Oryza sativa Japonica Group: one gene and its partners. Each later gene encodes a partner of the first gene's protein in a complex. Links are inferred from orthologs where the notes say so. Each region holds a gene or a part of one and is shown in the gene's direction. Other genes may lie near its edges.

Region 1 (3,660 bases):
TCCACAGATCGAGGGTGAAGAACCTCACTTAGCGCCCCCGGCCGAACCGGCAAAGGGGGGCCTGCGCGGTCTCCCGGTGAGGAGCCCCAAGCTCCGACAGTGTTAGTATGTTGCTTCGTTTTGCATGCGAAGGGGGTTTTCAATCCCTCCAGAAGAACATATGCTAAGTAAAGCAATATTTTGTTATATATAAGTGATCAGGTAGAGCGAAGGGCATAGAAAACAATAAAGATATAGCAAAATGTGAATTGTGAAAATACTAGTGATGGAGCGCAAGATTTGTGTTTTTGAATCTCACTCGCGTAGAAGGCAATGGATTTCTCTCGTTGCTTTCAATTCTTGAACAACGTTATTGGTTCGATAGAATTTGAAGTGTTCAATCACTATTTTGTAGTGAGCTATTCTGAACTGTGTTAGTGCAATGAAGGTCATCGAGAGTGCAAGTGGCTAACCTACAAAAACCCACTTATATACTAAAACAAACCATCTGTACCAAACTCAGTTCCCATTGATATCTTCCCACCTGGTGCACAGGGGCACCGTGCTAAGGTACAATTGATCTAGGTAAAAACACTTGACTTTAAGTAAGGACACTGGATAGCACGTTATCTAAAATAAAACTCGGTAAAGTTATATGGTCTCAATGGCAAAGCTAGCAGCATACTTAAACCTGGGAGACAAGGAACGTTTACTAGTGATCCATAAATTTTCGGTATTGCTAAAAATATGTCGCTACAAATTACGATGGATTTCAGTCGGTTGTTTCAACCGTCAGATGCGGATGCAGAAATCATCGCAGTGTACGCATATCCCTCCGATTCTGTTCTCTTCTGATCTCTTCTGTTGTTTTAATGTTATTTGCTAATTAGGATTACTAATTAGTCTTAAAAACTAAATATCCGTGTCATCACAAATTTATAGTTTTGGGAATTACATCAACTTACACATGTAATTTTGAGAATTGCATATGTAATTTTAGTACTTACATATGTAATTTTGGAATTTACATTGTAAATACACTAAAATTATATATGTAATTTAGGGACTTGCAATGTAAATACATGCCGACTATTTTTTTGGTGAAAAATACGGCGCTATAAATATATATATAGTTACTCCCTAAATTTTTACATGTGCTATCAATGGAGAATAGTAGCAACATCAGCGGCGGAGTCTGTACGGTCGCCCGACCTGCCCAGGAGGTAGCTCCGCCTGTCTAGCCTAACCTGTAATTTATTATGCACCCGTGGTATTTTGCAACTGTTACGGAATCCACCTCCCCGGCAAAGAAAGCGTATTCCTAAAAAGCGCCTCTCTGCAGGCGGGAGGATAAGGGGGCATTAGCCGCAAACCCCAATCCAATCGAATTCAACACGAAAAACAACCAAAGCAGCAAGCGAAGCCGGGACACTGCTGGAGTGAGCAAATCCCCGCTCGAATCCGGGGCACCAAGAATGGCCATGGCGGCCGTGGGCATCGGCGGCGGCGGCGGCGGCGCGCTGGGCCTCCTCGCGCCGCGCCGCCGCGCCGCCTCCTGGAGCGGCGCAGGTGGCGCGGCTGCGGCGGCGGCGCGGCGGCGGCCGCTGGTGGCGGTGGTGCGCGCGTCGTACGAGGCCGGGGTCGGGGTGATGGCGACCAAGGTCGGGATGATGACCTACTTCGACCCGGCCACCGGCAAGCCGGTGCCGGTGACCGTCGTGGGGTTCCGGGAGGGCGGCAACGTGGTGACGCAGGTGAAGACGGCGGCCACCGACGGGTACGACGCCGTGCAGGTGGGGTACCACGGCGTCCGCGAGGAGAAGCTCACCCGCCCGGAGCTCGGCCACCTCGGCAAGGCCGGCGCGCCGCCGCTCCGCCACCTGCAGGAGTTCCGCCTCCAGTCCGTCGACGGGTACGACCCCGGCCAGCCGCTCGACTTCGCCGACATGTTCAAGGAGGGCGACCTCGTCGACATCTCCGGCAAGTCCATCGGCAAGGGGTTCCAAGGTCAGTAAACTTGATTATTTTTTTTTACTCCCTTTTCACAATGTGACTACCATTTCGCCCTGTCTGAATTTGAACAATGCTTTACATTGTGAGGAAGACTTGAGAACAAGCTTGAAATTTTGCTGTATCAAATTTACCATATGCTCACCAATGTTAGTGTACAGAATTGTTCTTGGGAAGAATCATTTAGCCTCTTCTCTTGATTAGCGTCCTAGACTTGCACAATGGCATTGCCAATATGGCAATGTCAATGCTGTTCTTGGAGTTGCAGACCTGTACCATGTCAACACATTCGTTATAGTTCACAATTTATTGCAACCATCAGCATCACTTGTATAATTTTCATGAAGTGAATATAACATCGTAAACCCGTTGCAATTGCGCTCTTGATTTGCTGCGACCAACGATTTGCCAATACCGCAAACATTATCCATTTCATGTATATTCTTCCCAAACAACATAATAAAAAAGACACAAATATTAGAGAAGGACCTAATATCAAATAATTAGAATGGGTGAGGCTTCGAACCCAGGTCGTCTAGCCTACCACCTTGTGGAGCTAGTTGGAAGACCCCTGGGTGTTTCTCCCCAAACAACATAATCGTTTATAGCATTCTCATGAAGTCAAGAGCACCAATATCTCTTTTAGTTCCTGATCATCTAATGGCAATATGGCATAATTGTGCAACTATGCTCTCAATTTGCGACTGACGGTTCTTGGACATCGACACAGGTGGCATCAAGAGGCACAACTTCAAGCGAGGGCTGATGACCCACGGCTCCAAGAGCCACAGAGCTCTGGGATCGATCGGTGCCGGGACGACGCCGGGTCGGGTGTACAAGGGGAAGAAGATGCCCGGGAGGATGGGAGGAACCAAGACCAAGATCAGGAAGCTCAAGATCGTCAAGATCGACAACGACCTGAAAGTTGTCATGATCAAGGGCGCCGTTCCAGGGAAGCCCGGGAACCTCCTCCGCATCGCTCCTGCCAAGATCGTCGGCAAGAACATCCCCAAGAACTAGACTATTTTTCTCATGTGTTTCGTCCTGTTCTGTGAGATTTGTGATCTGTTGTTTACTGAATTACTGTAAATTGGAGATGTTCTTTGCCCATGTCCAGGTTTTGTATACGCGTAACTTTGAATTTCGTAAAGCTAATTTTTTTTCTACTCAATCTTATCGATCTCCCGTTCTCAGTTCACACTCTCTTTGGACTAGAAGCTAACAGAATCTTAATCATCTTGTGCTTGGATGTCAAATTTGCAATCACTGTTTATTCTGTGTTCAGGGAATGGAAACATGTAATGGTAGACGGTAGTGTAACAAACACATCTTGAGAATCAAACTTCACCAAGCGTCAACAATCTGACAGTTTTACCAACTTCTCCAATACTGAATTATTGTAAACTCTCATGTCTGAACAACCGAAGAGTGCAGAGCGCGACATGGCCAACCGCAGCAAGTGCAACAGAGGGAAAATGTTAACTAAGCATCATGTACAAACTACACATCAAGTGCAACAGCACGAAATGTCAATGTAAAGCTTCCAGTCACCATTAACGCTAACTTCTACAATATCTTCAGCAATGACACAGGGACAATAGGTTTCTTGCATCAGTCAATGCGACACATTATTAGGCCATGAAATATTCTCACACAAGTCACCGAAGCTGG
Region 2 (4,048 bases), on another chromosome or scaffold:
CCCTGGAGACACGCATTGTTGATGCTCTCAGAACCCATGAATTGCATAAGATTAAGACATTCAGTCCAATTTCTTCCAATATTCTTTCTAAAAGAGATCTTGTAAAGTTTGCATGTGACAAAAAAAAAAGAACTACTACATAACACTATACTGTTACAACAGAATACCTTATGGTGCTAACATCAGCACAGGATCGTAGGTATCATATTTGTATGTGCACTGGATCTGGTACTACCAGACACGATATCCATTAATACCACATTATCAGACTCTCGTATTGGTTCCTATTTCCTTCGTCCCATAAAAAATCAATTTCTAGGAATGAATCCGGACAACATTCTTAGGACATTCACAGTGCGCTACATATTTTTGCCGTTCCTCATATGCCACGTAGACGAAGAACCTGTTAAGCTTCATCCTCTACAATGCAAGTACTAGTAGTGGGTCCCACCGGTACAGTTTTTTCAATTTTCATCTCTCAATCTCTCTCTCTCCTCTGTTTCTTTTCTCATCCGAAATCTTTCATCCCCCAATCTCTCACTCTATTTCTTTTCTCACCAGGGCATCCGAGGCGCTGGGGCTGAGCGGCGGCGGCTGTCAGGGCAGCCCGAGCTGCGACGGTGCCGGACGGCGAGCTCCCATCCTCATCATTGGATACGGTGGCGGTCGCAGCCTCTTCGTCGATGGCGCCTTCCTCTCTCTCTCTCCCCGTGGCTGTGGCGACAATGCGCTCGCTGTCGACGCTGCGCGAAGCCACTCGTGTGAGGCTCCGCCCTCCACAACACGACAACTCACCTTTCTCCCTGCTTTCTTCGTTTGAAGAACGAGTATCCATGTTTGGGTACGAGAACCTTATTTGGCTCCGCGTACTGTCAATGCGGCGCCGAATATTCAGTTCTTGGCTATGGGGCTGAACGTCACATCCTTCTACTGTGAACACTCTTAGAAGTTGTATCTTTTGGGATAGAGAGTGTAGGTACTCTGATGGTACGGCCAGACATTTCTGATACTCTCGCAACTAACAGATTATGGGTAATGGTTCGTAGTATTTTTAAAAAGTAAATAGCACTACATTATCGGTGGTTCTTTTGGACCGTACCCAGTAACGGCGAAATCGTGAGCTTTTGGGCCCAATCCGACGCCCGCGGCGCCGCAGCGCACCACCCTCCCCCAACCGTCTCCCCCGCGCGCGCGGGCACACACGGCTCGGCTAATCCAAAATAGCCCAAATCGCACGAGTCCTCCCCCGTCCCCCGCGACGCGCGAGCGAGAGAGAGCCCTATCCGCTGCGCGCTTCGCCCGCTCGCCTCGCCCTCGCCTCACCGGCTATTATAACACTCTCGCGCTGCCACTTCGCCTTTTCCTCCCCTTTCTATCCTCCACCTCGGCTTATCTCCTCCCCCCTCCCCACCACCACCACCACCACCATGGCCACAGCCGCTTCCCTCTCCGCCACCGCCTCCTCCCTCCTCGCCCCCGCCCCCGCCACCACCGGCGCCGCGGCGGCGCAGTGCTGCTCCTCCTCGTCCACCGCGCTGTTCCCCACCCCCGTCCCGTCGCTGCGCGCCTACTACCCGCGCCTGCTCCTCGCGTTCCGCCGCCCCGCCGTCGCCGCCGTCGCAGACCCGCAGGGCGCCGTGCTCGAGGAGGAGCAGGGGGAGCAGCAGGACGAGGGGCAGGAGCAGTACGACGACGACGACTACGACGACGGGTACGAGGGCGGACGCGGCCCCGCGTTCACGCCCCCCACCCGCCCGCGCACCGGCAAGGCCGCCCTTCCGCTCAAGCGCGACCGCGTATGCCCCCCCCGAATCCAGCCTCCCCCCCGCGTGTTCATCCATTCGTGTTGATTTTTGGATTGACGCTGACGCCGCGTTCGCCTTTTTTTTGATGGGTTTGCAGACGAGGTCGAAGCGATTCCTGGAGATACAGAAGCTGAGGGAGAGCAAGAAGGAGCACGACGTGCCCACGGCCATCTCGCTGGTGAAGCAGATGGCCAGCGCCCGATTCGTCGAGTCCGCTGAGGCGCACTTCCGCATGAACCTCGACCCCAAGTACAACGACCAGCAGCTCCGCGCCACGGTTATTGCTCTTTCTCTCTGCTGTTGCCATTGTTACGTACGTTCTGTTCTGGCTTGTGTTTTATCAATCGTTTTTGATGATATTGGATCGGTTTTGGTGATGATGTGCAGGTTAATTTGCCCAAGGGGACGGGCCAGTCGGTGAAGATTGCGGTCCTCACACAAGGTGGGTTGCAATTACATTTTGGAGATTGTTATCGCAGCACCAATTCCAATTGCAATCTTTGGTGCATGGATTGATTAGGTCACTGCTAGTTGTGTCTTTTAGGTGTGGTTTGCCTGCTTGATCATGTGGTTATTTACGGTTCATTAAATTGGAAGCACGCTGTTATATAGTGAATTGAAATGGAAGTATGTGAATGCGCGCTAGTCACTAAAGTGGTGCACTAATCACTAGCACTATGTAATGGCTATTGTCAAATATCCTTGCAGGTGAGAAGATAGATCAAGCAAGAGCTGCAGGAGCTGATATTGTCGGTGGAGATGACCTGATTGACCAAATAAAAGGAGGATTTATGGAATTTGACAAGCTGATTGCATCACCTGATATGATGCCTAAGGTATGGCATTAGCTGCATAACTCATGTCTAAAACAATTCCAAGCATTATGAAGACTTGTCTTTTTGCATGTCTCCGACATAGTTTATCCCACATCCAAATGAACACGTTATGTTTCAGTGTTATTAGGAACCACAAAACCAGGCAACATTTAGTTGTATTGATCAGATATTGTTTTCTTATCATTACCTGCCATATCTGATCCATCCCTTCATATTACAAGTGTCTAGCATTTACGATTATGATTTGAGCCATAATGGAGATATGCAAATTTGGTTCACTCAGAGAAAATAGATTCGATAAGCAAATAAGGTTCTACTGTTTTGAATTGGTACATTCTTCGGAAGTTTGGATGCAGTTCTGCAATAAGTGTTGAGCTCCATGCAAGACCTGCATGGAAGTTTTAAAGGTGTGCTACTAGCTCGGCATATTATGTTGTTGATTTTGGTCTTTTGCTTCACAGGTCGCCGGATTGGGAAAGATTCTAGGACCGAGAGGACTTATGCCTAACCCCAAAGCTGGGACTGTTTCTCCAAACATAACTCAGGTACAATGGAAATTCTACAGATTACTATATGTATTGACACTGTTGCTTGTGGTTTTCTCTCCCATTTGCTTGGTTATTGTGACCCTGAGTGAAAGGTGGGTAACTGTCCATTTACCTTCTTTGATCCTTGGTGAACTTCTGTTTTATCCTCGTTCAATGCAATAGGCAGAACTCCTGCCCTTTTGTTCAAAGAAGTTGTCCATTTACGTCATCTCAGTACTTACCTCATAGATGCACTTCTGGGAGAAAACCTACTGATATATTGCTACCTTGTTTAGTAGTCTTCATTGTGTGTGCAATATATTTCAGTGGTTCGATTTTCAGACATGTTGATAGACATTTTTTTAACCTTGTTATTCGTAGATAGAAGGTTTGAAATTTTGTTTGTGCCAACTGAATTTGAGGATATGCATGGATGCATAGCTCCATCGTTCGTTTGTTGGCTTATCAACGGCAGCCAAAATCTGGATTTTGAAACTTAATTTAGAATTGATTTTGAGGGGTTTTTTTTATTGTGCTTTATTCTCCAGTGCTGGCTTTTGAATCGCTAAGAACATAGATATAGACGTTTTACTCAAAAGTTATTTTTGGTTGCTTCGTCATTTTTCCACGGCTTATCAGCCATAGAGCAAATGATCGTGTAATGACTGATGATGATGGTAATCTGCTACTTAGCCTGCATAGTGCCTCCGTAACAGTTATGTAAAGCATCACAACAAATCTGCAAAATAGAGAAAACAGGTAAAGTAGGCTACTTGACTGTTAGGAACAACCATCATTTATAACGGTTAACTGAAGGACAGGAGTGGGAGCATTTGTGAAAAATCTAGCCCTTTAGGTAATGAACTGGGCTATATTGTGC
Region 3 (2,700 bases), on another chromosome or scaffold:
TTTCACCCTGTACCAGACGTTCTTGTTTCCCTGCATCTTATTTCTTGGATTTCAGTACTACCAATGACATTATTATATGAACTATACACTTCCATTATCAAAACCATCATTTCATGTTAGGGATGGCTTGAAGTGCACACGAGTTATGGAGAGAATGGTAAGCATCGGATGTTTGGTTTTCTGTGAAATTGCGTTGAGCATGCTGAGTCCGGAACAACTCCGTGTTTACAGCATCAGAGCAGCTGCTGTTGCTTGATCGTCGCAGTTTATATCCTTTCCACCTGACATCCTTGCAATGTTTATATCCATTTTGATCGTCGTACAAGAGATTCGCATGGTTTTCTTACCTGTAAAAAAAAGTTTGAATTATATATATATATATATATATATATATATATATATATATATATATATATATATATATATATATATATATATATATATATATATATATATATATAGTGATGCATCTACAAATCGGGCGCTCGATTTTTTACAAAAATCAGGCATTGTTTCACTAAATAGATCGAAAATGTTTCAATATTTTTAAAAAAGCTGAAACACAACCAAATCACATCGTGAAATATTTTGTTACAACATATGAAACAACAGTTTCCAAAAAAAAATCAGGCATTGTTTCATCCTATATAAAAACAATATTTCAGCAAATAGCAAAGGATGTTTCAAATCATTGCAACATTTGATCATACATAGTGAAACATCACGAGTACACTTGCTAAAACATTGTTGGTGGAAAAAAAAATGAAACGGATTCCTTTAATAAAGTATTTCCTTAATGTGCGGGTGATTTGTTATAACGACGCGTGTGGTGGGGCACGTGGGGGGGGGGACAACGCATAAGGGGTGGGAGCGTGCGGGAGGCGGCGAGCGCCCGATTTTTCTACCGCTGATCGGGCGCCTAATCGCTGTCATTTTCTTATATAGTGATATCTATTGTGTTGAATAATTCAGTACACTGATGTATGTTATGTTTTATTGTACATATCAAGAGTTTTTGAACTCAAGAAAACAATAGTGATGTATGCTGTGTTGAACAAGGCAGTGAAGATTGGAGTTGTTGGTACACGACTTCACTCACTATGGTTTAAATTGACGTCTATGAATACCACACATACGCGTTTGCTCTATGCCTCTATTTTTTTTTATTTGGAACTCTTAATCTTATTTTCAACCGCTCATGGATCAAGATCGAACGGCTATAAATCCTCAAGCAAAGGTCAATCTCCACGGAAGCTTCTTTCTGTGCAGCTGACCGAGCTGAGTTCACCATCTTCTCAGGCACTGACGATACGGTCCCACATAATCCAGTGAGCCCCCCGCCTCATCTTCCCCACAGATAAGCTCTCCCACTCCACTCTTTCTCCCAACCCGCCATAGCTCCCGGCCTCCGAAGATGGAGACCTCCTCCTTCCTCCGCACCACCCTCCCCACCGCGAAGCCCCTCCCGGCGTTCCAGACCCTCGCACCCCGCCCCCGCCCCCGCCCGCTCCGCCGCTCCACCATCAGCGCGGCCATCACCCGAGGCCGCAAGGAGGACACGGTGGCCGCCGTCCGCGAGCAGCTGGAGGGCTGCTACCTCCTCGCCGGGATCCGCTACGAGGGCCTCACGGTGAAGCAGCTGCAGGGCATCCGCGACACCCTCCCGGAGACCTGCCGGCTGCTGGTGGCGAAGAACACGCTGGTGGGGAAGGCCATCGAGGGCACGCCGTGGGAGGCGCTCAAGCCGTGCATGAAGGGGATGAACGCGTGGCTGTTCGTCCACACCGAGGAGGTCCCCGCCGCGCTCAAGCCCTACCGCGCCTTCCAGAAGGAGGAGCGCCTCGAGGAGACCAACGACTTCGTCGGCGCGGTGTTCGAGGGCAAGTTCTACGCCCCCGGGGACTTCAAGGCGCTCGAGACAATGCCCAGCCGCGCCGAGGTGTACGCCAAGCTGCTCGGCTCGCTGCAGGGGCCCGCGACCTCCGTCGTCACCACGCTGCAGGCGCCGGCCAGGGACGTCGTCTCCGTGCTCTCGGCGTACGTGCGCAAGCTCGAGCAGGAGGTCGGCGCCGCCTGATGGCTGTTGAGAGATGGTTTTGTGGCTTCGTTTCTCTCATCTCACTCATTTCTTGTAGAATTCCTGTACTTTTACTGCCTCACGTTTGAATTGAATCACAAAAGTTTTACCTCTTACAACGCATGCCTACTGGTCTGATTTCATAAGATTACCGAGTTCTGATGTTATTAGGATTACGTTGCGTACTTAGAGGGAATGCTTGTTCCACAACTAGTGTTTTGATAATTTAATTTTACCTGTAGAGACTACAGAGATCAAAGTTTAGTAGGTTGAGGGGCAATGGCAATGCACAATTAGAATGGTCAATAACTACTAGTGCTTGTGTAGTTGTACCATCAATCAGTGTATCCAGGTTTACAACAAAGTTGTTCAAAGCAGTATGATGAGATGTTTTAAAATCATGAACTTAACTGTGCTCTTTTTGTTAAGAGCAAACCTCCTTGAAGTGAACAAAATTAAATGATTAATTCATCTTTTAGTAACAGAATAACACTAATTAGAGTTGGAAATTCTTCTGAATTAGCTTCTGAAACTTACTGTTGGTCACCAGCTCACCACATACCTAATTTGTATCATTTCTGTCTGAACGCGCAGTGGATCAAGAATAGAATTGGCAAAATTGA
Region 4 (3,994 bases), on another chromosome or scaffold:
TTACCATATTATATCAAAGTTTTTTCTTCATCGGGACTTTTTAAATATTTGCAATGATTTTCATGGCTTTTACAGATCTGAGACAGATTTGTCTTCAATTTAACAGAATTTTACACAAATTTGACAGCATATTGTCCAACAGCAAAGCATATTGTCCAACAGCAAATCAGATCCAAATCCAACAATAAATTCGTATCCAAATCCATCAACAAATCCAACCACAAGTTATCCTCCGTCTCTCGTTCCACACGACGCACGACGGCAGCCGGCGGCGCCGCCCCTCCGCGCGGCAACAGCCGGCGCTGCTGCCCCTCCTCCACCCTCCGTGCGGCAGCAGCCCCGCCGCCGCTCAATCTCTCCGCTTCGAGCACGGCAGCCGCCGCCGCCGCCGCTCCCTCCTCCTGCGCGCCGACGCCGCTACTCCTTCCCTCCTCGCGCGGCCGCCGCCGCCGCTCGCCGCTCCCTCTCCTTCCTCGCGCGGCCGCCACTCCCTCTCCCTCCTCGCGCGGCCAACGCCGCCGCCGCTCCCTCTCCTTCCTCGCGCGGCCGCCACTCCCTCTCCCTCTACGCGCGGCCAACGCCGCCACCGCCGCCGCTCCCTCTCCCTCCTCGCGCGGCCGCCGCTACCGCTCCCTCTACGCGCGGCCAACGCCGCCGCCGCCGCCGCCGCTCCCTCTCCCTCCTCGCGCGGCCGCCGCCACCGCTCCCTCGATGCGCCGCCAACGCCGCCGCCGCCTCTCCCTCCAGCCCGGTCGGCGGCAGCTCTCCCCGTCACCGGCGAGGTGGGGATTGGGACGAAGAGCTGGGGAATGGAATGGGAATCCTAGGGTTAATTTGTAACACGGGGGTATTTTGGTCACTTTAGGGTAGTATTTTTTTTTTCTTTTTTCTAAGTGATGTTCTACCGGTGAAAGCAAAACAGGTCAAATGGAAACTTCAATTTCAAATAACAGGGTCAAATAAACAAACCTAAAAAAATAAGATCAATTTAGTAGTTGGCCTTTAAAATAGGGTTAAATAAGCAATTATCCCATTTAACATATCGGAATTTCTACGCGTTTCTCTAGCTTTGATGCATCTGTGGGCTGCAAAGCCCAGCTAAGCAAAAGGCCCATCTCTTCCTCTTCCCCTTCTGGCTCCCTCTCCCCCCCTATCCCCTTCTTATCCGCTCTGCTCTCTCCACCTCGCCTCCCCGAAACGAAATGGCAGTGGCGTTCCACTGAACCAGGCCAAGCCAGACGGACAAGACTTCGCCGCAGCCGCGTCCTCCTCACCGCGCCGCCGTCGCAATGGCTACGGCCATCGCAGCCTCCGCGTTCCTCTCCTCCGCCTTCGCCAGGGACAGGCCGCTCCCCCGCCAGCGGCGCGCGGCGAGGCCCGCGACCCGCCGCGCCGCCGCGGGGGGCCTGTCGGTGCGGTGCGAGCAGAGCGAGAAGCAGAAGAGGCAGCCGCTCTCCGCGCTCGTCCCCCGCGAGCAGCGATTCATGTTCGAAGGCGACGAGCTCTGCGGCCCCGTACTAACCCTCACCTCTCTTTCTCTCTCCCGTATACATTCTTCTCTTTCTCAGTTCAGAAAATGAATAGTAATGCTACATTCCTTGGATAAAGGGAAATTTTACCGTGATTTAGGATTGCCGCTTATTTAGGAAAGCTCAAGATTAGTCCCATTCATTTCTAAATCCGTAAGTCACTTCATCTTGCTCTATTGGGTCAAATCCTTTCTTTACATGAATAATGTTAGGGAAAATACACAATGTTTTTACATGTTACTATACCGTATAGACCACCATCTTATTTTATTTAAAGTTATCTAGTTGTAATTTATTACGAAAGAGGATTCCATAAAATGAACTGAAAATAACATGGAGGGAACGTTGGTCTTTCTGAATTGGTCGCTAACATTGTGTTGTATTACTCAACAGTGTTCGCACCTACATGACTACCATATCTTTTTATCTGTGGATGTTTAGGTTTGTGAAGTTAGAATTCAGTACGGATACCATTCTTGTGTTCTTTCTCTCTTTTCTGTGCAACCTGTTCTGTGTAGTGATCGGACCAAGGAATTTAATTTGCAGGACATATGGAACACAACATGGTACCCTAAGGCTGCAGATCATGTAACTACTGAGAAGACATGGTATGTTGTTGATGCAACAGACAAGATTCTAGGTAGGCTTGCATCCACCATTGCAGTACACATCAGAGGAAAGAATGAGGCCACATACACTCCAAGTGTGGACATGGGGGCTTTTGTTGTTGTGGTATGTATGTTTCTTGAAATTAATTTATAAAGTTAAATAGTGCACACAATAAGATCCTCTGTAGTCCCACAAAAGGAAAAGAGGTTTAGCAGCACATACAAATAAGCACCAAAAGGTATCTGGAAGCTGAGGTCCACCTGAAGGCATTTTGAAGCTGATTTCATGTATATATATTTATGTTACTGTGTGCTTTTAATACTAATGCATCTCTGAAGAGTAATTGCTACGCATATACTATTGTAAGTTCCTGAACTACCATGCTGAACTCTATGTTCACATAGGTTAATGCAGAGAAGGTTGCTGTTTCTGGCAAAAAGCGGTCACAGAAGCTCTACAGGAGGCACTCTGGACGGCCTGGTGGAATGAAAGAAGAAACTTTTGATCAGCTTCAGAAAAGGATTCCGGAGAGAATTATTGAACATGCAGTGCGTGGCATGCTTCCTAAGGGCAGAGTAAGACATCATCTCTTAGAGCTCTTATCTAGTCAGTTTCATCAAGTCTTTTTGACCTTAAGTCAGCCTACCTGGGTATACATATGCTCTTATCCTTATTTTTGGTCAATTTCTAATACATATCTGAAAATGGGTATCCTCGTTCTGTTCCATTATACTTCATTATTGTGTATAATTCCCCAACTTTATATACCCTGTTCATGGAAATATTCGCTCTAATTGAATGCCGAAACGGCGTGGGCTAACGAAGTACTAGATGTATTCTCCCAAAACTCCTATGTTGCCTGTAAGACATCTTATGATTGCCTAAAGCCTTTTACTTATGCCTAAGTTCATTTATAAAAAAAAAAAACGTTTACTATGTCAACCTCTCAAGTTCTCATATGTTAGTGACACTGACACATGTAATCCGACCAACTACAGCGGTTGTACGTGCTCTATGTAGCCTTCTCAACATTTTGAACATTTTGCAGCTGGGAAGAAGACTGTTTACCCACCTCAAGGTGTACAAGGGAGCAGAACATCCCCATGAGGCTCAAAAACCTGTTCCACTGCCTATCAAGGATAAAAGAATACAGAAGTCTGAGAAGTAGATAATTCCTGTGGAGACTAAGAAAGACACAACAATCTCACGTAAATTCCTCCCCTCGAGATTTTGTCCAATCTTTGGAATGTGATGCATCTGTCTGTTTGGGGAATGGAGTGTAAAATTTTTTGTAATTTACTTCCTCCAAAAGTTTGTGTTTCTAAGTCATAGTTCTTGTTGATTACATATCATGTACCTAATACCGTACGATTTTAAGCAATCCGATATTTCCATATCCAATTGAGTAGTGCAATTTTGACCTGAGATGAGCTTGATGTGTCATTGTTTGGGGGCAAAAGTGTTCTCTTTTTTCAATGGGCATCAGGTGTTTCTAAATTCTCTTAATAGTTGATGTAGATCTGTTAATTAATTGCACGTCCGTGTTTATCTTCCATATAACGAAAAAGTTGACAGTACCAATCGTGTGCTCAAGTAACACCTATTGTACCATGTACTCATTCTGTAAAAAAAAAGCCAATTTAGATGAAGATCTGATACCACCTAAAAATAATGATTAGGAGGTTATCCAGATTTATATTAGGTGGTATCAAATTTTCATCTACGGGGTTGTTTAGATCCAGAGGTGTAAAGTTTCGACGTATCACATCGGATATTATATAGAGTGTCGCATAGGGTGTTCGGTTACTAATAAAAAAAACTAATTACAGAATCCGTCAGTAAATCGTGAGATAAAT
Region 5 (3,363 bases), on another chromosome or scaffold:
GAAGAATAATTTAGATAGATATTTGGAAGCTCATTTGGACGGTGGAGCACACAGGTATTAGAAATGATGTGCTGGGGCTGAATGGCTGATGCTTTTGCTAGTACTGCTGGTAATGATATATATTAATCAGTACCATTCTGAATTTATTAGTCTGGTTGAGTCGTGCTGCTGACAGTGAGGTGTTCACTGATAAAATGTGTACTTTCTTTTATATTCTTTATTTGCCGACATTCTGTATCTCTTGTTCACGAGATGTGCCGGATGTAAATATGAAAGTGATGCATGGCTGATTACTTTTTGACCGTGAAGAAGAATTAATGAAGCTTATGCACACTAGGCGGTTCCTCCATACTGCTGAATGGCTGTTCATTAAGGCCCTGACAAGTGACAAGGTCACAGACTGACAGTTACTTCTTGAGGTCAAGGAGGTTAATGTAGTTTATCAGGATTAGGTTGCAAACTGACAAGGAAGATATTGTCCGTTGTGTTTCTACTCTTGGTGTCAAGTCGATCCTCACAGGATCACGGTCGTGGCATTGCTGGTCCTTGGTAGAACAAGGTAGGGCAAGCGCAATGTTGTGATCTGGGACCTTTCAAATCAGATCCTAGTGATTGTCCCCTGGTTATAAAGAACTGCATGTTACGGTTACTGCATGATTAGTTAGGCATAAGCATGTGACGAGGATCCTCGTCGTGATATTCCGTCCATTTTTCAATGTTGATCAAGCGTGGCAGATCTCCTGCTGATCTGCCAGCAACTGTTGCTAGGTTCAGAGTTTGCTTGATCTTGTTTAAGCTCTTCATCGGCGTTTTTTATGTTTGAAGTCATCGTTTAATGGCATACTACTACTATACTAGTGATGTCCTGTAGTGCATTAGAAAATACAGAATGGGCCACATACTCAAACACTGTTACCGGTTGACCAAAACAAGGCATATATCGAAATTCACACACTGCAGACTTGCAGTTGTTGACTCATGTAACTTTACCCTTCTCTTAGGCCGTGTTTAGTTCACCCCCAACTCAACGGTTTTGATGGGCCTAAGGCCCAAATCAACGGTTTTGATGGGCCTAAGGCCTGAAACCATGTCGAACAGTTCGATGGGCCGAACCATGACGAGAAAGCCCACCTGCGACACTGGACAGCAACGGCAGCCAGCCACAGCCAACTCGCCTTATCCCGTAATCCATCCATGGCATAAAGCTCCCTCCTCAGCTCCCACCTCCGTCTCCGCGCACGCTCCAATGGCGGCCACGGCTGTGACCCTGCCGTCCTCGCCGGCCCCCTTCCCCGTCACCACCACCGCCTCCTCCTCCCGTAACGTCCGCCTCCTCCTCCGCTCCCCGCCTCCTCGCCGAGCCCTCCGCGTCGCCGCCTCCGCCGCGGCCGACGCGCCACCCAAGCCGGCGCCGCCGCCGACCTCGCCTTCGGGCATCGTCCTCGTCGACCCCACCGAGGCACAGAAGGTGCACCGCCTCAAGGCTGTATACGACCAGAAGGTGGTCCCCCTCATCACCGAGGAGTTCGGCTACACCAATGTCCACCAGGTGTTCGACCTCTGTCTCCCTTCTCGCAATTATAGGATAGACATGGCCATTTCTTTGCGGAACTCGGGAAATTCGATTGTTGTTCAATAATTGAGCTTAGAGGAGTGTGTTTTGGATTCTCGATTTTATTCAGGTGCCCAAGGTTGAGAAGATTGTAGTGAATTGCGGGTTGGGGGCTGAAGCCGGTAACTCCAAGGGGCTCGAATCCGCCATGAAGGACCTCGCCATGATCACCGGCCAGTGGCCCGTCAAGACGAAGGCCAAGAAGTCCGTCGCCAGTTTCAAGATCCGCGAGGGGAACACCATTGGTATTGCCGTTACGCTCCGCGGCAGGGTGAGTCCTCTGTACCTCTGGCTACTTGCGATGCAGACATTGACAAATTGGGGACTGCAATGTTGTATCAATTTGGGATTTGCATGACAGTATAATAGCCTAAAGTATGTGTGAGAATTGCAATTACTCCATCCAGTTCCAAATTATTGTCACCGTTGGCCGTCAGTATTTTACATTGACCACAAATTTTAAATGGTTGGACGAACGAAAGTTTAATACCTATCTATGTGGAGTAACAACCTTTAATAATATGGCATATTTTTAGGTATATGCATTTTATTTTCTAAAAAATATAAGTGATCAAAGTTCAAATATGAATAGTATCCAGTGACAAGTATTTGGGAACCTAGGGAATATGTTTGATCGATGAGCTTATTTTGGCTTGCTGCAGGTAATGTTCAACTTCCTGGATAGGCTCATCAACCTTGGGCTTCCTAGGACCATGGACTTCCTTGGTGTCAACCCCAACAGCTTTGATGGCCATGGCAACTTCACCATAGGCCTTCGTGATCAGGGCGTGTTCCCGGAGATCCCGTACGAGGTCGGTGGGAAGAAGAATGGAATGGACGTCTGCATCGTCACCACCGCGAAGACCGACAACGAGGCTCTCAGGCTGCTCACCCTCCTTGGCATGCCGTTCGCGGAGCACATCAAGTCCTCCGTGGTGATCCGGAAGAAGAGGTTGAAGCGCCACCACTTCATGAGCAAGGGCAGGGGAAGACGGTGATTGCAAACCGCTGCCTAGGCACGTTGAGCTTTGCTTCTCACTTTGTCAATTGTCATTGTTTTTGCAAAGTTTCGTTTAGAAGTTTGATGATTTTGTTATCTTGTCACGTGCTGTATTTACTGTCAGAAGACAAAATGAAAAGGCTTTGCTTTGGTCAGGTCATTCGCAGATGAGCACTCATAAATGAATTGGGTGTAAAGAGATTATCCGGCAGCATTTTCAAACTGCTTAACTTTACTCACTAAACCACATCATATATATCTCTTTGGTCCCAAGCATCTCATAGCCCAGGCCATTACCCACACCATACTATCATCCTATATCAGTATTTCAGTAGCTACACGTTGGCAATTCAGGCGGACCGATGACGAGCTCTTCTTCAGGGAAGGCGCATGGCTTGCCCGCCGCCCCGAGCTCCGGGCACGGCACCGGCGAGACGTCGGAGGCGACACCCTTGACATCGGTGCAGTTCCATTGCAGCTTCTTGGCGTCCGGCGCGAGCTGCGCGGTGACGTTGGACATGCAGATGCCAGTGTAGGGGTCGTTGGGAATCCCCTCCATCCTGCCGGCCATGGTGACGTTCTCCGCGAACACGTCGCTGTAGTTGATGCCGGTGACCTCCGGCAGAGCGTTGGGGTCGGAGGAGTTGTCCGGGTGCTGGCCGTAGTTGCCGGTCATCCAGAACACCCACTTCATGGTGTGGAGGCTGAGGCCGCGGACGAACACGTCCTTGACGTAGCCGCCGCGCCCCAC
Region 6 (4,239 bases), on another chromosome or scaffold:
AAAGGTAACATTTGGCTTAAAAAGGAGGTTCCAGTTATGATAACATTTTAAGACCATAAAACAGTCTATTTTGTTGAAATGCCTTGAGATGACTCTTTACTGCAGATATACATTTTAAACTCTTAGTATGCCTACTCATACAAATTGATGATACTGCTAATTTTTGTTGGTAGCTTTATCTGTAGAAGCACCTGATTGCAAAGTTGAAGAATCAGCCCCTGGAAGTTGGCACAATGCGCATGCATCAATTAAGGGTGGAAAAGGCAATAAGCATGAACTGGAAGAAACCTCTGCTGGGTTTCCTCCTGATGACTCTATTGGTATTTCTGGAATGGAGTCCTCTTCAAGAGACACAGCTAATAAGAAAATCAAATTGTCAAAGGATATTGGTTTGGACCGTCTAACCGCCACAACTGTTCAGGAAGCACCGAAGCGTCCAAGAACAACCTCACTAAAGAAGAATCAAGAGTGCAGCAGACAGAAGAAAAGAAAAATAAGCAAGTGGGATGGTTCCTACTCTGTAATCATTGAATGGTTGAATTACTATTCTGTGGATGAGTCAGATGAAGATGAGGTGCCTTTGATAAATAAAAGAACCGAAAGAAGAAAGCGGCAGAAGTTACTGAAACTTGTTCTTGCTAGGGAATCCAATAGTGGCAGTGAAGGTGCTAGTTCTACATCTTTTGTAGAAAATGGCAGAAATTCTAGCAGTGCTGGCTCTTACCCCCTAAGCCAGGGGGACAATGACAAATCTGAAAATGTGCAAGCTAATCGAGTTGATGTAAGTTCATTGCCAGATCATCCTGTAAGTAGTCATGTAGCAGCAGAGGATCAAGCTGGCCAAGCTGCATCGTCACCATTGAACTCACCAACTAGAGGTATCGTTGTTGACATTTCAGATGGTTGATGGCCAGAGTTCCATTAGTTTCTTTCAGCTGAGGCCTGGACGTACAATTATCCAGACTACAGTTGTAACACTTACTTTTAATTCCTTGCACCTGTCTACTGCTAGACATGCAACGGGACGATCCTGTGAAGCATGTGTCTTGTACATGTCTTCGTTTCTTCCTTTCTCATTTCACCTTTTCTTTTCTTAGCATAGATCAGTTCAGTATACTTAACTCTGTCAGGTTGTGTGACCCATCAGTTTCTCTCCGTACTAGTCTCTTGAAGAACAGCAAAGATCAGGTTTTCTCTTTGGTTGATTGTGTGTGGAAGATCAATCCAAATATGTTCATTTCTTAAGAAGATAAATTCAGTTCTATTCTATTCATAAACTTTTGTAAACCTTCTAAAATCCTTTAATAAACAAGAAGCAAAGTGAGTAATACGAAACCATTCACAAAATAGAGGGAAAAGAGGCCCAAATTCCCAAGGGTTAATTGGATTCATGGCCCATTTATCCAACCGTCTTATCTCCCTCGTGTCCTTCCCCAATTATCCCCTTCTATCCACCCACACCAGCAAGCCGCTCAGGCGCGCTCTCCGCTCCACCGCCATGGCGTCCATCACCCTCCTCTCCCTCGCTCCCGCGGCCACATTGCTCCACCTCCCGGCCTCCACTTCGCTCTCCACCTCCTTCGTCGCCGCTCCAGGCCCCATCTCCGGCCGCCGGTCCGTCGTCCTCCGCGCCCGCCCGCGCCGCTGCGTCACGGTCGTGTGCAGCGCCGCGGCGGCCGAGGCCGCGGAGGCGGAGCCCGCGGAGAAGTTCCGGCTCGACAACCTGGGCCCGCAGAAGGGGTCGCGGCGGCGGCCGAAGCGGAAGGGGCGCGGTATCGCGGCGGGGCAGGGCGCGAGCTGCGGGTTCGGCATGCGTGGACAGAAGTCGCGCTCGGGGCCAGGCGTCCGGCGCGGGTTCGAGGGAGGGCAGATGCCGCTCTACCGCCGCATCCCCAAGCTGCGCGGCATTGCTGGAGGTGAGTCTCTTCGAGCTTCCCGCTTCCCCTCCTCGCCCTCAATCGAAGCCTCACACATTCAAATGCACTGGAAATTGAGTGGGAACACGCTAGCACCTTCCATTTGGAATGCAGAAATGCTGGGATTGAGAAGTGACCCGTTGCAAGTTCTACCTTGCGATTGCAGGAATGCATATTGGCTTGCCGAAGTATGTGCCGTTCAATTTGAGAGACTTGGCGCGTGGCGGGTTCAAGGATGGTGACGAGATATCATTGGAATCCTTGAAATCGAGGGGTTTGATTAATCCGTCTGGCAGGGAGAGAAAGCTTCCTCTGAAGGTACACTATACGACGATTATCCTTCTTTTTTTTAAGTCGGTTCTGTAGATGACCATGTTTTACTGAAAACTGAAATATGAATGCCTTGCATTTGATCTTTGCCAGTGAATTCATCAAGTTCACCAGCAGTCTTGGGTAATCCTTTAGTTGTTGATGTTGTGGATTGAATGGCTGGCCTTTTTTTTTCTTGTAGTTCTCAAATGTTGCTGTGTTGGTCTGTCCTTAGCAGCAATTACCAAGTTGAGTATTCGAAGTCTCAAAGTTGTGTGTCGGGATCAATTTTCTTAGCTCGTGTTGGACAAACACGGTATGATTTGACGAGTGTTTCTATTGGCTACTCAAGGATCTAGAACGTATGAGTTATGATGAACCCACACATGGTGTAGGCCTGCATATGAGCATATCTGTCAGGCATAAACATGAAGTGGTATCAAGATCCCAACAAAACCATGTGCTCTTACATGTACCACTGCATGTCTGCATCACTCCCAACATACCCAAAATATTTACTGTTTGTCTCCACTCTTAGTTGGCGGATTGCTGGAGTAGATGCATTAGTGTGCTACTGGGTTGCCCCTTATAGTGGGTAGTGGTGTGGCGCTTGATCACTGATGTGACAAAGACTTCTCCAAGGGTGGAACTTAATGCACCTTGAATAGCATAATTGTTCAACTTTTATTGTTCTTTCTGGTCCTATTTCATTTGATTGATTTTTTCTATACTCTAGGCTCCTAGCTATGTGGTACATATAAGGTAAAACCCACAGGGCTAAAACAGGTATCAAGACCTAAGTCATAATGTGGGGAGCTATCAACTTTATCCTTATGATAGGCTTTTTCCTTCTTGACATCTGATTCTGATGTTCAGCAGATGGCGTTCCTTTCATCTTTGTTTGAGTACAATGATACTGCAATGTTGCTGTTGTTATTGTATCTTTTATCATGCGGGTAGTATTAGTATGCTAACTTTTGAAAACCTATCTGTAGATTTTAGGAGATGGTGATGTATCAGTCAAGTTGAATATCAAGGCTGGGGCATTCTCTGCTTCAGCCAAGGAGAAGCTCGAGGCAGCTGGTTGTACTTTAAGTCTGGTACCAAAGCGGAAGAAATGGCTACCACAATCTTATCTGAAGAACCAAGCTCGTGCAGAAGAATACTTTAGCAAGAAAAATGGTGGTGCTGGTGAATCTGATGAAGCATCTGCATAGAATTCATATACACTGTACTTCTCCTTTACCCTTTTCTTTAACATATACTTATTTCTCTTACCTTGTTCCAAAAGTTCCACGTTCAACGAATTTTGAATCCGTGCGATATGCAAGCATTTTTTTTTGTGTGTTTCCTGTTTAAATGGAGAAAATTCCTTCTATACCCCTGAAAGTTTAGCCAATCCCTTCTACGCCTCCGAGTTTTGTCCACTCCTTTGTATGCCCCTGAATTTTGGTTTTGATCCCTTTCATACCCATACCGTTAGTTGAATGTTTAATTCTAATGAAAAGGACCTTTTTGCCCTTAGACATGAAGGAAATCTAAAAATTGTAGACTAGCTATATTGTTGGAAGTGTATAATTTTGTTATATAAGACTATCATATTCATGACTTTATTGTACAAGGTATTATTCATGGCAAAGTTTATTTTTACCTAATGACATAAAAACTAATATTTATTTACCTACTAAAAGAGTATATGTAGCATTTGTTTATGGTAGTTCAACATATTTTCTCCTGTTGTATATATTATATAGGAATGCTTTCCAAAACTATGTTTATCATTTAAAAAAATGCTACATGTACTTTTTAAATATATATTAAATTTTTTATGTACATAAAACTTATGAATATGATAATCACACAACAAATTTTATACTTCCAACAATATAGTTTACAAATTTCTACATATTCCTCACATATTGAAGGGTAAAACTGACTTTTATATACCTATTAAACGGTCAATTAACGGCAAGGGTATGGAAGAGATCCAAATCAAAATTCAGAGGTATACAAG
Region 7 (4,212 bases), on another chromosome or scaffold:
TGATGATGACAAGAGGCACCGCTACAAAGGTACATCGCTGGCCTTTATTCTTTAAACTTCATTTTATTATTTAGAGTGAATTATTATTTAATGAGTGATGTTGCTCCATATCCTGTTTCTGATAGTCTTTACTTCTCTTCTGGTAATAATATTTGCTGTTCTCTGACTTTGTTACCAAATACGCTATGCAAATTTTATTGCTTGCAGGCACATTTGATGCGATCACAAAGATGATACGTTATGAAGGTTTGTCAGGGCTTTATAAAGGAATGAGCACAAAAATCGTACAAAGTGTTTTTGCTTCTGCTCTCCTTTTTATGATTAAGGAGGAACTGGTGAAGGGCGCTCGATTATTGGTAACCGGCAACACCAGCCTTGTTAAGAAGTTACCATCGAAGCCATTAAGATGATCTAGGTTGTACAAGAGTTAGTTCCCTACTTATACCACAATTGTTTCCATAAAGCGATGGACAGAGTTGCCAAGCGCCCCTGTTAGGAGATATCAAGTTATCTGTGAGACTCTGATCGACTGTAGGCTCTCCAAAAAAAGGAGATTAAAGATGTAGTACAATTACCACTGTGATTCTTGTAGGAACCAATAATGATGGTATATATTGGGTAGGCTATCTCTGTTGCTCGTGTAAAGTATACTGTTATGGAAGATTGAAACACTAGAAAATAAGTTGGCAATGAGAATCGCAAGCGCTAGTCATCTGTTCAGATTACTTGAGTTTCTTTAGCTTGTTTGTTAGAGCTAACCGAGAAGAGGATCGCAATCGTGAAAACTTCGCAAGTGTTCAGAACAAAAGTAGAAGTAGAAAATTTGGAGTTCCTGTCCATTTTTAGCATAACTGTGTCTATGGTGCGCCCCATCTGTCAATGTGGTTCTCAGGCAACTGTTCTGATACACAAGTGCTAATGAGCAATCTGACCCGACAAAAAGGAAATGAAATTTAATTTGATTATTTCAAACTCATTTTGGTGAAACTAAGCCTCCTTCTTTACTAAGATGCAAATTCTTCCTAACACATTTTTTAAACTGCTAAATGGTATGTTTCATATGAATTTTTTACATAAAAATATTTTAAAATATCAAATAAATCAATTTCAAGTTTAAAATAATCAAAACTTAATTAAACATAAGCTAATGGGCCGTTTTCATTTTGCTTTCCTATTTTATTTCATCTTTATTAGAAAAAAAACACCATCTAATAGACTAATACTGCCTCGAGGGTTTTTCTTTAACAATATCTAAGTTTTTTTAATGAAGAGATGCTTCTTCTAAAATCCAAACACATAGTAGTGTGTGTATCTTACTGGTCTGGCGCGACCGACTAAGCTGACACTCGCGAGAGTGTGGCCGGTCCGGTCGGGTGGGGGTGGATAAGGAGATAGAGAAGCGGCCGCTCCGCAGCTGCAGCGGCAAAGCCTCCCCGTCGTCCAGCCCACGCAGCGCACCGCAGCGAGCGAAGCCGCCGCAATGGCCGCCTCCTCCGTGGCCTCGACTCTCCTCCTCTCGCTCTCCTCTTCCTCCTCGCCCTTCCTCTCCCCCACCTCGGTCTCCTTCCTCCCATCCGCCGCCGCCGCCGCCTCCTCCTCCCCGCGCGTCGCCGTCGCCGCCGGCAAGCAGAAGGCGGCTATCTCCGTCCTCCGCGCCCTTCGCGCCGAGGCGGCCACCCTCCCGGTTCTCTCCTTCACCGGGGAGAAGGTCGGGGAGGTCGCCCTCGACCTCAAGTCGGCGCCGCCCTCCACCGCGCGCGCCGTCGTGCACCGCGCCATCATCACCGACCGCCAGAACAAGCGCCGCGGCACGGCCTCCACGCTCACCCGCGGCGAGGTCAGGGGAGGCGGCAGGAAGCCCTACCAGCAGAAGAAGACGGGGAAGGCGCGGCGCGGGTCGATGCGCACGCCGCTCCGCCCCGGCGGCGGCGTCATATTCGGGCCCAAGCCCCGCGACTGGTCCATCAAGATCAACCGCAAGGAGAAGCGCCTCGCCATCTCCACCGCGCTCGCCAGTGCCGCCGTGGCCGACGATGCATTCGTCGTGGAGGAGTTCGACGAGGAGTTCGCCGCGGGTCCCAAGACCAGGGACTTCGTGGCCGCGCTTCAGCGGTGGGGGCTCGACCCCAAGGAGAAGGCCATGTTCTTCGCCACGGATTTTGCAGACAATGTGCGGCTCAGCGGAAGGAACATTGGCTCCCTCAAGATGCTAACCCCCAGGACTCTCAACCTATACGACATCCTCGATGCCCGCAAGCTCTTCTTCACCCCGGCCGCCATTAACTATCTCAACTCCAGGTATGGTGCCACCGTTTTTGATGAATATGAGGATGATACCAATGGCGAGGATGATGGTGAGGAGGAAGCAGAGGAGTTGCAAGAAGGAGAAGGGAGCGCAGAGGAGGCTGCTCAAGGTACATAGCTATGCATGAACAATTTCCAGGTGTCTTTTTATTGTTTCTATGGTGGGCATGTGCGAAATGACTTTGAGTAACTAATGCTATCCAGTGATCCTTTATTTTACATGTTTTAGTTGATAGTTAGGAGAGAAAATGCTCTGCTTTAATGGCATGTACAGTAGTTTTTTTTTTTATCTTTTAACTCTTAGCTATGCTCTGTTGTAAATATCATGATCGATGCTATACGTATGCTGATAAAGATCCTGACATGCGTTTTAAGGGTAAAAACAAGATAACGTGGCAAAGAAACAGAAAATGTAGCCAGTTTTGTCTTATGAATACCATCTTAATTATTATGGAGAAATTCTTTGTGGCCTTGTAGACTTATGGAGCTAATTTTTTTTTCGAAATAGTTCTCTTATCCTTACCAGCATGCAAAAGGAAAAATGCTTACCATGCTAATGTACATCGTATGGTTTTTTTTCCTCCTGAAAGATCCAATAAGTCCATGACATAATTCAATGGTCTATTTTAGAAGCATGCTTAGAGATCCACCTACCCCTATGCTAGCTCTCAGTAGACCCACTGAGTCTGTATTTTACTCGTTATTTTGCACCTCCTTAGGGTTTTTATTCAGAGCTCATGAGCAACTCAACAATTTGCGAATAGAAAATGACTTCACCTAATGGTGGTTAAATTTTCGGCTGAAGGTGGATTAAGTCCTAAGCACTAAACTAAAAAATAAGAAGAAATGAGACTGCATGGAATCCATGAACACCACTGAACCAGAACTCTGGGGATACTGGTACACTCCTTATAATAGTGTCACAATCTGCTGTGCCACACAGCTACCCCTATCACCTATCACTTGAAACATTGTCAGCCATTGGCACTGTCATCATTCACTTCAAAGATGTTCTGTTAGACCTTAGAACCATCTTAATAAAGTAGTTAGCTGTGAATATGCTGGTTTAAGTTGCTTTAGAGGTAAAACCTAGTTAAACACATGTTTTCTCCATCACTCAAGCACTTCCTTTTCGTAAATACTATGCATAGCTACAGGACTAAGTTATTATTAATTGACATTCAGTTCTCTGTTACATTTTGGTGCTGCATATTATAACTTTCTCTTATTTTGAGCATTTCTCAGGAACTTCTTTTTGTATGACTTTCAGATGAGGCTGCAGAGACTGAGGCTGATAGCAATTCCTAGGGAAGGAGGTGTAGATCGCGTGTTTTTCGTTTGTTGGTCTGGTAATTGCTTCCCTGATGCAGAAGCTTTTTGGCTTACTTTTGTTGTAAGTTTATAATGTTTTTTTTTCACTGATGCAGTATATTAGATCTTCAAACTGCACATATATTTTCAAATACAATGTCGTGTCAACCACTGCATATTTTTCTTCCAATTTTATACAGAAAGTGCTTCCCAATCTTGCTTCAAAAAACCAGTGTTGACCTGCTGGTTACCACTAATTTTCTACTCCCTCCGTTTCATATTATAAATCATTTTGACTTTTTTTTCCTAGTCAAACTTATTTAATTTTGACCAAAATGATAGAAAAAATAATAACATTTTTAACACAAAACAAACATGTTATCAAAAATATATTCAAAGTTACATTTAATAAAACTAGTTTGGTATTATAAATGTTACCATTTTTTTTCTATATACTTAGTCAAACGTACAGAAGTTTGACTCCGAAAAAAGTCAAAACGACTTATAATATAAAATGGAGAGAGTAACATCTTGAGTAGGGGTATGATTACAAAATCTTGTCTCCTTAAATTGTTGAATTGTTCCTTGTTATGACTA

What was found.
Region 2: large ribosomal subunit protein uL3c (region 1) and large ribosomal subunit protein uL1c share a complex: the UniProt entries of both Arabidopsis thaliana proteins name them as parts of the 50S ribosomal subunit. The link is inferred for Oryza sativa Japonica Group from reciprocal best matches to the Arabidopsis thaliana genes AT2G43030 and EMB3126.
Region 3: large ribosomal subunit protein uL3c (region 1) and large ribosomal subunit protein uL10c share a complex: the UniProt entries of both Arabidopsis thaliana proteins name them as parts of the 50S ribosomal subunit. The link is inferred for Oryza sativa Japonica Group from reciprocal best matches to the Arabidopsis thaliana genes AT2G43030 and EMB3136.
Region 4: large ribosomal subunit protein uL3c (region 1) and large ribosomal subunit protein uL13c share a complex: the UniProt entries of both Arabidopsis thaliana proteins name them as parts of the 50S ribosomal subunit. The link is inferred for Oryza sativa Japonica Group from reciprocal best matches to the Arabidopsis thaliana genes AT2G43030 and emb1473.
Region 5: large ribosomal subunit protein uL3c (region 1) and large ribosomal subunit protein uL5c share a complex: the UniProt entries of both Arabidopsis thaliana proteins name them as parts of the 50S ribosomal subunit. The link is inferred for Oryza sativa Japonica Group from reciprocal best matches to the Arabidopsis thaliana genes AT2G43030 and AT4G01310.
Region 6: large ribosomal subunit protein uL3c (region 1) and large ribosomal subunit protein uL15c share a complex: the UniProt entries of both Arabidopsis thaliana proteins name them as parts of the 50S ribosomal subunit. The link is inferred for Oryza sativa Japonica Group from reciprocal best matches to the Arabidopsis thaliana genes AT2G43030 and RPL15.
Region 7: large ribosomal subunit protein uL3c (region 1) and large ribosomal subunit protein uL4c share a complex: the UniProt entries of both Arabidopsis thaliana proteins name them as parts of the 50S ribosomal subunit. The link is inferred for Oryza sativa Japonica Group from reciprocal best matches to the Arabidopsis thaliana genes AT2G43030 and RPL4.

Annotation. Positions count from the first base shown.
Region 1 is NC_089036.1:1,980,082-1,983,741, reverse strand, and holds large ribosomal subunit protein uL3c, read left to right. Parts: upstream 1-1,360; 5' UTR 1,361-1,454; coding exon 1,455-1,986; intron 1,987-2,719; coding exon 2,720-3,009; 3' UTR 3,010-3,160; downstream 3,161-3,660. UniProt on the Arabidopsis thaliana protein: One of the primary rRNA binding proteins, it binds directly near the 3'-end of the 23S rRNA, where it nucleates assembly of the 50S subunit.
Region 2 is NC_089039.1:18,889,730-18,893,777, forward strand, and holds the start of large ribosomal subunit protein uL1c, read left to right. Parts: upstream 1-1,248; 5' UTR 1,249-1,427; coding exon 1,428-1,796; intron 1,797-1,902; coding exon 1,903-2,082; intron 2,083-2,192; coding exon 2,193-2,247; intron 2,248-2,513; coding exon 2,514-2,641; intron 2,642-3,102; coding exon 3,103-3,186; intron 3,187-4,048. UniProt on the Arabidopsis thaliana protein: This protein binds directly to 23S ribosomal RNA.
Region 3 is NC_089037.1:9,831,879-9,834,578, reverse strand, and holds large ribosomal subunit protein uL10c, read left to right. Parts: upstream 1-1,353; 5' UTR 1,354-1,414; coding exon 1,415-2,077; 3' UTR 2,078-2,200; downstream 2,201-2,700. UniProt on the Arabidopsis thaliana protein: This protein binds directly to 23S ribosomal RNA.
Region 4 is NC_089035.1:31,965,951-31,969,944, forward strand, and holds large ribosomal subunit protein uL13c, read left to right. Parts: upstream 1-1,194; 5' UTR 1,195-1,289; coding exon 1,290-1,514; intron 1,515-2,075; coding exon 2,076-2,261; intron 2,262-2,542; coding exon 2,543-2,713; intron 2,714-3,186; coding exon 3,187-3,306; 3' UTR 3,307-3,539; downstream 3,540-3,994.
Region 5 is NC_089037.1:1,440,999-1,444,361, reverse strand, and holds large ribosomal subunit protein uL5c, read left to right. Parts: upstream 1-1,178; 5' UTR 1,179-1,246; coding exon 1,247-1,549; intron 1,550-1,682; coding exon 1,683-1,883; intron 1,884-2,274; coding exon 2,275-2,610; 3' UTR 2,611-2,863; downstream 2,864-3,363. Other genes in the region: probable polygalacturonase, read right to left, coding at 2,941-3,363. UniProt on the Arabidopsis thaliana protein: Binds 5S rRNA, forms part of the central protuberance of the 50S subunit.
Region 6 is NC_089037.1:6,341,527-6,345,765, forward strand, and holds the start of large ribosomal subunit protein uL15c, read left to right. Parts: upstream 1-1,439; 5' UTR 1,440-1,498; coding exon 1,499-1,916; intron 1,917-2,082; coding exon 2,083-2,234; intron 2,235-3,220; coding exon 3,221-3,442; 3' UTR 3,443-3,456; exon of another isoform or gene 3,457-3,558; intron 3,559-4,198; exon of another isoform or gene 4,199-4,239. Other genes in the region: uncharacterized protein, read left to right, coding at 1-4, 174-907.
Region 7 is NC_089037.1:8,802,385-8,806,596, forward strand, and holds large ribosomal subunit protein uL4c, read left to right. Parts: upstream 1-1,412; 5' UTR 1,413-1,480; coding exon 1,481-2,414; intron 2,415-3,574; coding exon 3,575-3,612; 3' UTR 3,613-3,829; downstream 3,830-4,212. Other genes in the region: peroxisomal nicotinamide adenine dinucleotide carrier, read left to right, coding at 1-29, 208-410. UniProt on the Arabidopsis thaliana protein: This protein binds directly and specifically to 23S rRNA. May play a role in plastid transcriptional regulation.